Linked DNA regions of Drosophila melanogaster. The protein of the gene in region 3 interacts with the protein of the main gene of each other region in a pairwise test. Each region holds a gene or a part of one and is shown on either strand. Other genes may lie near its edges. The genes, in order: whe, CG15282, CG11007 and CG13919.

What was found.
Region 1: the proteins of CG11007 (region 3) and whe interact in a two-hybrid assay, tested with the Drosophila melanogaster proteins (one large-scale study listed by BioGRID).
Region 2: the proteins of CG11007 (region 3) and CG15282 interact in a two-hybrid assay, tested with the Drosophila melanogaster proteins (one large-scale study listed by BioGRID).
Region 4: the proteins of CG11007 (region 3) and CG13919 interact in a two-hybrid assay, tested with the Drosophila melanogaster proteins (one large-scale study listed by BioGRID).

The regions. Positions count from the first base shown.
Region 1 is NC_004354.4:21,401,808-21,404,728, reverse strand, and holds whe (what else), read left to right. Parts: upstream 1-1,956; 5' UTR 1,957-2,011; coding exon 2,012-2,269; 3' UTR 2,270-2,390; downstream 2,391-2,921.
Region 2 is NT_033779.5:14,710,706-14,713,693, forward strand, and holds CG15282 (uncharacterized protein), read left to right. Parts: upstream 1-1,765; 5' UTR 1,766-1,881; intron 1,882-1,937; 5' UTR 1,938-2,036; coding exon 2,037-2,048; intron 2,049-2,119; coding exon 2,120-2,347; 3' UTR 2,348-2,413; downstream 2,414-2,988.
Region 3 is NT_033778.4:19,501,399-19,505,098, reverse strand, and holds CG11007 (uncharacterized protein), read right to left. Parts: upstream 2,032-3,700; 5' UTR 1,912-2,031; coding exon 1,096-1,911; 3' UTR 505-1,095; downstream 1-504.
Region 4 is NT_037436.4:1,643,808-1,646,542, forward strand, and holds CG13919 (uncharacterized protein), read left to right. Parts: upstream 1-1,659; 5' UTR 1,660-1,734; coding exon 1,735-2,130; 3' UTR 2,131-2,174; downstream 2,175-2,735. Other genes in the region: alphaCOP (coat protein (coatomer) alpha), read right to left, coding at 1-148, 205-1,150; CG17249 (uncharacterized protein), read right to left, coding at 2,175-2,735.

The DNA.
Region 1 (2,921 bases), on a different chromosome or scaffold from region 3:
TCGAATCAGGCCTATTAGACCCCGTTTGGCGCATTAGCAGTACGTTCCGGATGGATATGGATGCGGATGCGAACGAACGAGGATGCGGATGATGCGAATGAAGATGCGGAGGTGGGGCAGGCGATCCCATGACCATGCGAACCGGACTTCGACACCAGACACTAAATGCCTCATCAGCATTCCGGTGAGTGTTTATCTGAGGGTGTGAGTGGATTTGCGTTCGGGTTAATCAAAATGTGACCGATGGCAACGACAGCTGACCGCAAATCAAGGGAACGTCCGGGCGGCCAATTACCCCAATAATCAGAACCCGTTGGGAAATCTTTCTAATCGTCCTTGGCAGCAGTCCTGTGGACTGCTACTTGGTATAGATAACTACTAGCTAATAGCTGGCATGTGAAAAATCAGCTAATATCTATATCCGTATCCTTTAAGCTCTCATTAAATTTTTTAGCACACGAATAAGAAATTAAGTTTAGATGAACTGATGGTACAGAAAATGTAATTTATATCTGAAGAGCCATATATCAATCAAGCCATAATTGAAGCGACCGCCAATTCTTGAGGTTATAACGATTATCCTGTTCCCTCCGATTGAACTCAGAAATGAATCCAGACATCTAGAGCTTTGTATCGCATCCTGCGAGTCCCTGTCGTACACCCATGCTCTCCATAAAGCTACCACATAACGGCAGCCACATAGGAAAAGTGGAAAGTGCGGTGCTGAAGTGGAATATCCAGTCCACCGAGCTGGTTTTAGAGCGTCGAAATTGCCTTTTTATTGACAATTCACAGCACGCGCCGTTGAAACAGATCATCAAAGGTTATTACGACTACAGAAAAGGTCCTTTTGTTGCTGTTGTAAATAGATTCATAAGCAACACTACATGCCGGCAATTGCGAGACAGGAAAATAAGCGAAAAGAAATCCTGCGAGTGAAAGTGTTAACACTTAGGGTAAGCTATACACTCGCTGCAAGGATACTATATGTGGATATTCGAGAGTTGGTGCGTGCACTTCTCCGCGGGATAAAGGCAAATTTCAGTCTGAATGTCAAAGTTTGAGCCTGGCAGTACTTTGAAATATTCATAAGAACGAACACTAAGAAAAACAGGGTTAAAGTTAGCTCTCAACTACGATAAATAAAAAAATGTATGCTGGCTAAAAAAAAGAGCACGAAATAACGAAATTTAATGCAAGGTCCTGAAAATAGGCTCGTGTTGCAAAAAACCGGAAAGCAAGAAGCCGAAGCTCAATGTTGAAACATTTGTTTAGTACCAGAGATATGAATTTCCAAGTAGAACTCACACACGGTCATAAAGCAATAAAGCGGAATCATGTGCAGAAATTTTTATAAGTTAGGTGTATCATCCAAGTGGCAAATGCTCCAGGATCTTAGAAATGCGCGGAGTGTGGGATTTGTGGGGGCGAGACAAGTGCAAGTACTTTCCACTTTTTTTGGCCAAATCCCAGCAAAGAGCTTAAGGTTTCAGCTCAATTGTTTTGCCCGACTTTATTTCATTGCCATTTTTATATTTCCCCATCTTGGGTGTGCCGAGAAAAGCTTTAAGCTAAATCAAAATGCATATTTACGGAAAAGAAAAATCTATGAAACAGAAATCTTATAGTTAGATACTTTGCTAAAATAAAAAAGAAACGAAAAAACCTAAAGCTGTTCCAATAAATCTACATTTTATTCATTAGATCACCCGGAATAGCTTTAGGAAGTAAGTATAAATATAATGAATCTAAAGTTTCACAACCACGAGGTTAGTTTGTTTAATATTTTAAGATCACCAGTTGGCCAAGTATTTCCATTATGAAGGGTTTACACAACTTCACTTGGGTCATCGCTGTTTGCACAATGCTTCTGTTTGTCCATCGAAAACATAGAATTGCAAAACACCTGCAATAGATCCGATTCCGTAGAGATCTCCGAGGTATATATAGGGCTCGGGTGCAGTTGGTGAAGTCAATTGAATTTGCTAAGTCAATCATCTACAAAATCAAAATGCGTGTAATCTTCCTCATCGTTGTGCTCGCCATGGTGGCTCTGGCTGCTGTCCAAGGACGTCGTCCTCCAGGACTTCCGCAGGGAGGTCTGGGACCACTTCAGGGCTCTGGAGGACTCCAGCCGCCGCAGGGAATACCTCAGGGACCTCCCCAGGGACTCCCACAAGGACCTCCCCAAGGTGGCAACTCATCCTCCTCCGAAGACTCTTCCTCCCAGGAGAGCTCCAGCGAGTCCTCCAGTGAGGCGTCCGCCTAGAAACTCGATCGCCGAGTCCTTCATGTAAAAACATTCAAAAATCTTTAAATAAAGATATATATTCTGCTTATTTCAATATATAAAACCGTCCACCGATTCCATTAACTGCACCGATTTCCATTTCGAACTCCGAGTAATGGTTGCGTTGCTCCTGCCCGAGGAATGGAAATGGAAATGGGCCTGGGTGTGGGTGTGGGGGCGTGTCTCAAATCGGTTGCCTAAATAAGAAATCATTTTATTTGAAAAGTTTCCCTTTGGCACGCCCCCTCCAGCTGCCACCCCACTTTTTGGAAGGCAGAAGACGGCGACGTCTGCGTTTGGCGACACCAGCAACATCGGGCGAAACAAAAGCAACAAGGGCAACAGCGGTACAACAAAGCGAAGACACCAACAATAAGCTGAAGCAGCTGAAGGCGTTAGGAAGTACCCACACGACTTGGAAATACCTATTGTACGTATGAATTAAAAGCAAAAAAGAACAGCATAAAATATTACTTTCAAAGAGCGTAAAGCTACGTAACTAACAAGGCAACTAGATAATAAGCTATTAAGATAACAACTATTTGTTAAATGGCTTTAAATGATTAGGTACAAATCAAAGGATATTTCGAAATGATAATTGTGACAACTGATAAATTATGCAACTGTATAA
Region 2 (2,988 bases), on a different chromosome or scaffold from region 3:
GCAGGTGGGGCATAACATTCTGACTGGGCTAATGCATTGCTAGCCACCCAAATAACCTAAGACATTGCGTCGCACGGGGGTGCCAAAGAAGTCAAGCCAAGTTACTAGTGCCAAAAGTTTAAAATTAAACGTAGTTATATCAAAAAAAAAACAGCTTGGTTGGAAACGTAGGGTACTACTGAACTATATATAACGAAGAATGTGTATCTTAAATAGTTTAAATGTTTTTTTTTTACTATTTTATTTAACCTTTCTTTCATTCGCCAATACCAACTTAACGTAAATCAAGAAACTAACGTAGTCAACAGTTTGTTGTTTACCTATCGGTGACGCAAATATTTAATTATAAATTCAGCTCGATTAAAGTTTAAAAGAGCAAAGAATGTCCCAAAAATGTTGCGTTGTAAGCAAAAGGCTAATTATGTTTATGCAAAGTGTTTTTTTTTTGAACTTATGGAACCTAATGGAATATAATTTGAACAAAATTATTGAAAATTGACGGTAATTGAAATGAATTTGAACAAATTTCAGTGCACGGCTTTGGGTGTCGTGTTGGGCCACCATCAAAGGAGTCAAAGAGCGTTGAATGTTGAATGTTGCAACTTTGACACGCGACGCAGACGTTGGCCCAGAGTGTTTTCCCCGGAGCTCTGCAATTTTAAGGGCCTAGGCCTCCCGAAAAGGGTTCATTAGACATTTTACCAAAATTACTGCACATTTCCAAAAAGCAACGGCTATATGATTAGTTTTGAAGCGGTGGTTTATTTGAAGTAGAGGGTTTACTTTGATTTAAGTTAAGTTGAGCGAGTTTGCGTTGTAAGTTACTTGAACATTAAACGGATAAAGTCACTAGTACCCACACTAAACAGCTTACTTGCCAACCGGGAAGAGGGACTTGTGGTGCCCGACTAAACACAAATTCGATGAAATAAAAATAAATTAGCTGCTTTAAATGAGCCAAATAAATTCATTTAGGGTTTTATGCGCTCCACTGAAGTATGCCAAAAGGCACCGTCTTCGTCGTCGCAGTCTTTCGCATCACCCTCTTTTCGGATGGCAGGGTTAAGAGCCAAGTTAAAGGCAACACGTATTGCCAAACTCGATTGCCGCTGGCGCCGCACACCAAATGCAATTTCACTTCACCCTCGTCGAGGTACGGTAAAATTTCCAGGGTCTCCGGTCTCCGGTCGCCAGTATTCCCCATTCGCTGCAGGTGATTCCCCATCGAGACACTTATCTATTGAGTGAGCTTGGTTCGCTTCGTTTGGACCGCTCTTGAAGTGAACGCCAACGAAATAAGAAAACAACAAAGTTTCTTTTGATTATGTCAATGGAATTTGTTTATCTCAACGAAATGTAACCGAATTGAAAAAAATATGTTTTTTTTACGCTCATTTGCATTTACTTTTGCCCGGATATAAATGTGGCAATTGGAAGGGGTGATTTGTTCAAATGTCCAGCTCAGTAAGATTCAATAATTATATATACACGTAACACATTAATGTGATTCTATGGTAAACATTAGAGTAAGGAAGCAAATTTGTTTTGAGAACCCCAGAAACAAAGGCATCATCAACAACGTCAAGTAGCATCAACAACGTCTAGTTTGGGTTCAATATATTGATTCTTGGAAACGTGCCTCTAGAAACTGAATAGCTTAGTCATAAATTCAGTAAAAATACTATTTAAATATAAATTGGCAAACTATTAAAATTCATATCAAAAGCCACGCACCTGGCGCCTGTTCCCCTAAAAAAAAATGGAAACCGGTCAATAACCACAACAAATTCAAAACCGGATTGGAAGAGAAACGCTGGTCACCTGTGAGGAAAGCCCCCACGTCTGGTCCAGTGTCTGGGACAAGTTTTTATTTCAGTGCGGGTAAAGAACCTCCGAAATTCAAACATTATATGAATTCAAAAAAATCGTATAAATAGAGAAAGACGTGACAGAAAGGGCACAGTATCGAGTGCAACATCGAAGCATCCTCATCTTCTGGGATATTAGTACAAATTGAATTCATTTTCAAATTCAATATGAAATTCTTGGTAAGTTTGGCCACCAGAGCTACACCTCGCAGGGATTAAGGACTTTATAAAAATAATAAACGGCCATTCAGGTGATCGTTTTTGTGGCCCTTATCGCCGTTGCTTCCGCGCTTCCTCAATTCGGATATGGAGGATTCGGTGGATTCGGAGGATTCGGTGGCCAACAGCAGCAGCAAGAAGGATTCGGCGGTTTCGGAGGCTTCGGAGAACAGCAACAGCAGCAGGAAAGCTTCGGTGGATTCGGCGGATTTGGAGGAATCGAGCAGCAGCAGCAGCAGCAACAAGGAGGCTTCTTCTAAGGCTGTTACTTTAGTTCCTCGACTAAAAATTAAAATAAATTATTTGAACGTATTAGTATAACAAACACAAAACAGTTTTTGTTTTTAAATACTCATTTACATGTTTTGACAATGGCTTATTGTAGGCCTTTAGATCGACAGAGATTTTATTAATGAGTAACCTTCATTTATTTCGCTTGCTTATAAATACGTTTGGGTTTATTTTTTTGGACATAAGCAACATCAAGAAAAATGAATTATTAAATTAAATTAAAAATTTGTGTTTCAACATAAAAAATTGTTTTTATTTAGCTAATCGAAAATCACTTAATGGGTTAATGACATTTTTGTGCTATAACAACATTAATTGCAAACACTTGAATAATTCGCAAATGATGTTGGCATAAAAACCAAAGGCAGATACTGACTCATGCAAAATTGTGAAATAACCAAATGTTCTGACAGCAATAATTTAACAAAAAACCTAATTTGATTAGCGAAGAGCATACGCCAAGAAGAGCTGATTGCAAACCTGTATTTTTAGTGGGCCCGTCAACCCCAGATACTTGAACGTTTTCAACAACAGAAAAAATCCCCTATAAACACAAACGTTCACAATGATTTGAACAGGGAAGTCCGAGCGGCGATCGCACCGTGCTCAA
Region 3 (3,700 bases):
AATAAAACGGCCGTGTGAGACAATCGCATTATTTACCATATACAATTCACGTAAAATGCAATGGCCATTTTCATGCCGTTTCAATGAAAGTAAAGAAAAATACAAATATTAACCACAAAGGCCTTGCTCACATCTGTGGGGGGTGGTTGTGGGCGGTGTGCGGTGGGTGGTGATTGGTGTGCAGTCGCCTGTATTTATGCATTTAAATTCGTCCGTTTCTCTATACGTATGTGTGTTCATATTGAATGGATAAAAGGGATTTGCGTTTATTTCGTTCTGCGTCTGGCCTGTTGGGTTCTTATGTATATATATATATATATATCCATATACGATCTGTCTATATGGCCGATGTCTGCGGGGCCATTTCGGAACAGAACGCAACACGCCGGAAACATTTTTGTTGTGCCATTTGCATTGCCATACAATTTTGCTCAACACATTGGCAGCAACAACGGGCCCATTTGGTTTTATATTTCATAAACCGGGGGGATACGACGAAGGTTTCTGTTTTAAGCGGCAAGTCAGAACGTATAAAATACAATAAATATGTCATAAAATTGTGGGTTGTCACAAACACTTTATATACATTTGTACCGAAAACCAGTATGGGCACCTTTCTGAAACTATATATTCATTCTCTATATTTTCACTATTTTACTAGCTATTTGTATACAGCGTAAGTTCTTTATTACATTCTTTCAATTTACGCTTGTCCAGTCCATCTTAATATTTACTTGTTCTTAAACGAGCACCGGAAATGATCGTTTGAGCTGTGCTAATTGAATGAAATGTTAGACTCGGCTGGGAATTAAAAAAGAACTGCGTATTTTCGTTGACTCATTTCACATTTTTAAATATATTTGGTACCTGGTGATTAGCTACAATTTATGCAAATGCAAGATCATACAAATATTTTCTACAATGGCATCGCGACGAGAGCACGTCTGAGTTTAGAATGCAAATATTAGTGCAATTGTACGTGTCTTTGGCGGTGGCAGCTCCTCAATAAGTTAAAATAAACTATGAACTAAACGAATAACAGTTATTAGCACGTGCACGCAGAAATGAGATGGCACCAGTGGTGGACAGGACAGCCTACTGGACCTTCTTGGCCTCCTTGGGCGCAATGGGTAGTCGTTCGATGGCCTCCTTGTACAGCTGGTTAAGGCCAAAGGTGGCGCGCACATTGTCGCTGGAGAAGAAGAACTTTTGCAGTTTACCCTTGGAATCGACGCAGGGCCTGCGGTCCGTCTCCTTGCCCTGTTGGAACAGGATCACAGTTGGTAGCTGTCGGGAGAAGCTGCTGTCCGAGATGCGATACTTTTGGGCCACGTCCGGAAAGCGTCCAATGTCAATCTTGCCGAACTTCAGGTGGTCCGTGTTGTACTCGGCGGAGAGCTCAGCAAAAACGGGGGCGAAGTTCACGCAGCTGGGATTCCACACCGTGTAGAAGCAGATCAGCCAGCTGGTTCGCTTGTCCCTGGCCAATTCCTCCTCGAAGACCTGTGCGTTGCGGAAGTAGGTGATGTGCTCGGGTCCGCGATACGAGGGCTCCGGCAGCACCATGCCCACCAGGACGCATAGAAGCAGAAAGCCCAGGCCGTAGCGGAAGTCCGCGTAGGCCCACAAAATGGCGTTGGCCACTTTGGTGTAGAGGAACGACGAGGCCAAGTAGTTAATCATGGTGACACTGCCCGTTTTGCGTGACCGTATCATCACCACGATTAGCAGGAAGAACAAGATTTCCACCTCACGACTGTCCAGGTCGCATGCTTCATCCTCTCCGGCGAGAATAAATAGGCGGGTGCAGATGAACTGCGTCTTTTTGGCCAAAAGGTACGATATGGCCAGGAGTATGTTAACCCAGTAGTATGGCTTGGCCAGCAGAGCCATCTGCTTCTTCCACGTCATCTCTGCGTCCGGGGGCTGAATGCGCTGATCTGGGTCACGATTTTAATTAACAATTTCCCGAGTTTTTCTTTTCTTGCTTTTGACAGCCAATTGTTAATTTTAGCCTCGCCGTTGACTAGAAATTAGCAGCCTAGTTGTCTGGCACGGGCGTTGCCACCTGATAAAAGAACAGTGGCACTCTTGTCAGTGCTGGAAATGGTATTAGTTCGTTGGCGCCTTTTCAAATTCAAAATCATCAATTAACAGTTTGCCTTTCTTAAACGTTCTTTGATACGTTTTATTTACTTATATGCATTATTATCTTACAAGTATTTAGTATTTAGTATTTAGCATTTTTTTTAAATGATAATTAATCAAAAGTTAAAACCATAAACAGAACTTGGGACAACCATATTTGTTTGCCCGAAAACCAACCGAAACTGATAAGCGAGTTATTGTTACATCAGCATTTTGCTAAAGTCATTGAGAGATTGTTGACCTAGCACACAAAGGCCACTGCAAAAAAAAGGTAAAAAAAAGGCATCGAGGATCTTCATTATCGGCACACACGCCGAGTTCAAATCTGCGAAAAAGCTTGGCTCTCTACGTGATCTCAGACGCTCGTGGCTTCCATCAGTCGCCTTATCACCCAAATATTATTTTGGCCTTTTTTTTTGTAGTTCCTAAATTAAATGTGTTTGGAACTGTGTGAATACTGTGAGAATTTTGTACCCACTTCATAGAGCATCACCAGTATTATCGCCATCGTGGCTGACTCTCCGCGTTGTGCAAAGATTAATTTTTTTGTAGTAAACACTGTGCGCGTCACTGGACTAAACGATTTATTTTTAATCGTATTATTGAGACCAATTTACGAGGGTCATCTCCATGATCCCCATCGGATCGATCACCCACCTCTTTACTGGTTTCACTAGTAGGCCGTTCTTTGTTTATACAGCGATTATTTTATGTTCAATACACTGGCAAATAAAGTGAGCTTGCTTCTATTTATAGAATATTTTCAACTGTGTTATTAGTAACCTCCTTATCGAATCAAACAACTTTCTCGTGGCTTTATATTTAAATTCAACCAATCATTCACTTTATAGTAAAAAAAGTATTAACAAAGACACTAGAATAAGACAATAGAATAAGAATTCTAGTGTCTTTGGTAATAATATATTAAAAACAATTAACTTAAAACAAAATAAGATTTTTTCAAGTGCACTGTTTTGTACAACTTGATAGAAATGAAATAGGGAATCAATACAGAAAATATTTCGAAAATCCGAGATCATGACTAATCAAAGTCAAATCTAAGGTGTTGATGCTTTTGCACCTTGTCTGCGCCAAAACAAAAATGAAGTGAAAATTTCAGTAAACAACGTGCACTTAGGTCAGTTTTTAATAATATTATAATCACAAATGCCTTTGCCAGCATGCTATAGTGTGTTGGCAGCCGGATTAATCTGGTTTGGAATAAAGTCTCGTAAGATTGTCAGCCATTTGAGTACAGGGACACTCGTGATGGGAACGAGAGCCCTTCATCTTGGCTGCGGCTAAAAAGCAAAACTGGTCTATAGATCCAGGGCTCTGATAGCCATATCAAGTACACAAATCTACTTCCCAGCCCCATCGAAACTTCCCGTAGAGCTTGGAAACAAATAGGCTTGTGTGTGGAAATGACAAAAAAAAAGGCAAAACCAAAACAATGACAACTGCAACTGATAAGTGGCACAAAATGGCGATCACTTGCCGGCTTTATAATCGCGCTATCAAGGCAGCCTGATCTCCTGTCTCCCGCTTATCA
Region 4 (2,735 bases), on a different chromosome or scaffold from region 3:
GACTTGCCTGGTCGAAGCTGCATAACCACAGTGTCCTTAGTGGTGGTAAAGTCCAGTTTGCGAAGGAAACGTTCCTTGACGTAGTAGAGAATATTCCCGTGGACAGCATATGCAGGACGCTCTCGCTCCAGTTTAAAGACCACCATACCTGAAAGAATATGTATCATTACAAAAAATTCCTATTCCTAAAAGAAATCAACTAACCTCCATCGTGGCCAGCTGCAAACAGATTCAGGGTCGGATGCGCTGTAAGTATCCAGAAGCGCTCGTTGTCCCGCCGGAATGTAAAGAGGCACTGGCGCTTGGTCATGTCCCAGACGCGAATACTGCGATCTTCGCCGTTGGAGAGAATCAGGTCTTGCCTGGGATGGAACAACACGCTGGACACGTTGTTGTAGTGACCGCGACAGGTGTCGACCTCCCAAGCCTTGTACTCGTTCATGCGCCACAACTTCACAAGGCGATCATCGGCACCGGAGACAATCAGCGGCAGGGTGGGATGGAAACTGGCCCAGTTGACGCCACGGTCGTGGCCCTCGAGCACGTGCTTGACCACGGCATCTGCTTGGCCAAACAGATCAGTGGCACCCGGATGACCCTTTAGGTGGTCATCAAGCCCACCGGGCCCGGGAGCCACGTTCTTCTTACGCAGCCCCGAAATGTCCCACACGCGCACCGTCTGATCGAGTGAAGCAGAAACGATCTGATCCTCCGTGGGATGGAACTGGGCGCACATCACATAGTGGTTGTGGCCCGTCAGCACGCAGATGCAGTTGCGCGACTGCCAGTTCCAGATGCGTATGGTCTGATCGTCGGAGGCGCTCAGAATCCATGGGTATTCGTGGTGGAAAGCCACCGTGCGCACATAGTCCAAATGGGCCAGGAGGGTAAAAATGCATCGGCGTTGCTTGTAGTTCCACACCTTGATCTTGTAGTCGTCGCCGCCAGAGACGAAGAGCGGCATCTGCTGGTGGAAGGCCACGCCTCGCACCGGTCCGTCGTGCTCGTCGAACTTCTCGAGGAGCGTGTGCATCCGGTAGTCCCACAGCTGGATGACGCCGCTGTGCAAGCTGACCAGGATCCAGGGGCGCTTAGGGTGGAAGGAGAGGCCCTTCACCCTCGCCGACTTCGACTCGAAGTTGGTCAGCATGGTGGCACTTTTTCTGTTCTGCCTGTAGGTGTCTCAAATTGGATGCACTTCTAGGTGTCGGCTTATCCGTCAAGCGCCCTTTTTTTGCTGGTTCGAGCACTTGCCTGTATCAAAACATCAAGAGGTGGGTGTTAGAACAAACCCATTTTATTGATACGCTACAAGTAACACGTAATATACTGCCAACAATTAATTTTATGAAAAACACCAACCAATCGTCGAAATTGTGACACGTCAATTATCTTCTTCTTCGCGACCCAGTCAGTGTTGCCAGCGTTGGCAGATGTGCATACACTGGGAACCATAAGTTTTCAAAAGTACACACATGAATATGAATGAATTATCATGCTCTCCAGTCTTCTTTATATAGTTAAATATACAGATTTTACGTGATATTTTTGAATATATTTAATCTTCGTCAATAATATTCGAAAATTGAGTTGGTAAATGTATTTCTACGAACACTTTTAGTGACCACTGTAATCGTAGTTTTACAGCACTGGACAAAGTGCATTCTATTCACGGTAACTTCGCTTTGTTTATTTTCTGTAATACCATGGAAAATATATAAATAAGTGACAAAGATGACACTGGCACACCGGGCGCTCTTCACTTGGTTTATCGTCCTGGTCTTCCTGATTCTTCTGTGTCTCCGCCTGGACCCACGCACCACCTGGAATTGGTTCGTCACCTTTACGCCACTCTGGTTCTTCGATGTGATCATTATCATCTACGTGATCATTAAATTTATCCGCAAGTGGCGGAACCTAACCTGCCTGACGGATCTCCTGTTCCTCTACAAATGGAACATTGCCGGCGTCCTGCTGACCATCGCCTCCCAAGTGATGATCTGCCTAACGCTGGAGTACCCGCAACAGATTCCCATATACGTGACCGTTGCCCCGGTCATCCTGCTGCTGAGCACCGCCATCTTCTATGTTGGCAGCAGGCTGGGAAAACGAGAGGGCTGGATACAGTAATATTAAGCATATATTGTAGGATTAGGTGTACATAAAGTGAAAACTCAAAAGCCGTATTTGCTTTGGGTGGCCCGACGGGTCTGCCGGTTGGCCGACCACATGGCCTGCAGCTCGGCTTCGTTGGCCTTCGCCTTGTGCGCCAGGTAGGTGATCTGGTGCTTGCGCCGAGTCCCTGCCACCGGCTCCTCGTCCGTCAGCACGCCGGTCGGTTGGAAGGTGGTGGACGAAGCCAGAGCCGATCGCATCCATTCCTCGCGATCAGGTAGCACCTGAGACCCAGATATGTCGATCACCTGCATCTCCTTGGCCTCCTTCCGCCGGCGCTTGGCATTTTTGCCCACCAATGCGTCCATGGCCTCTGCGTTTAACTGTTGCTCATGGTAGCGCTTTTGTGCAATCTGAGACTGCTCTTCCTGAAGTCGGGCGGCTTCTGCTTCGGCTGCTTCCTTCTCGGCTACCTCCTCTAGGTACTTGCTACTGGCTTCCACCATCTTGGCCGCTCGCTTGGCCACTAGAGCGCTAATCTCGTTGCTGCTCACCTCAGGCAGCTTTTGCTCGGAATTCAGGGAGAAAAAGTCTCCAGTGCCATCTTCGTCATCATCTTC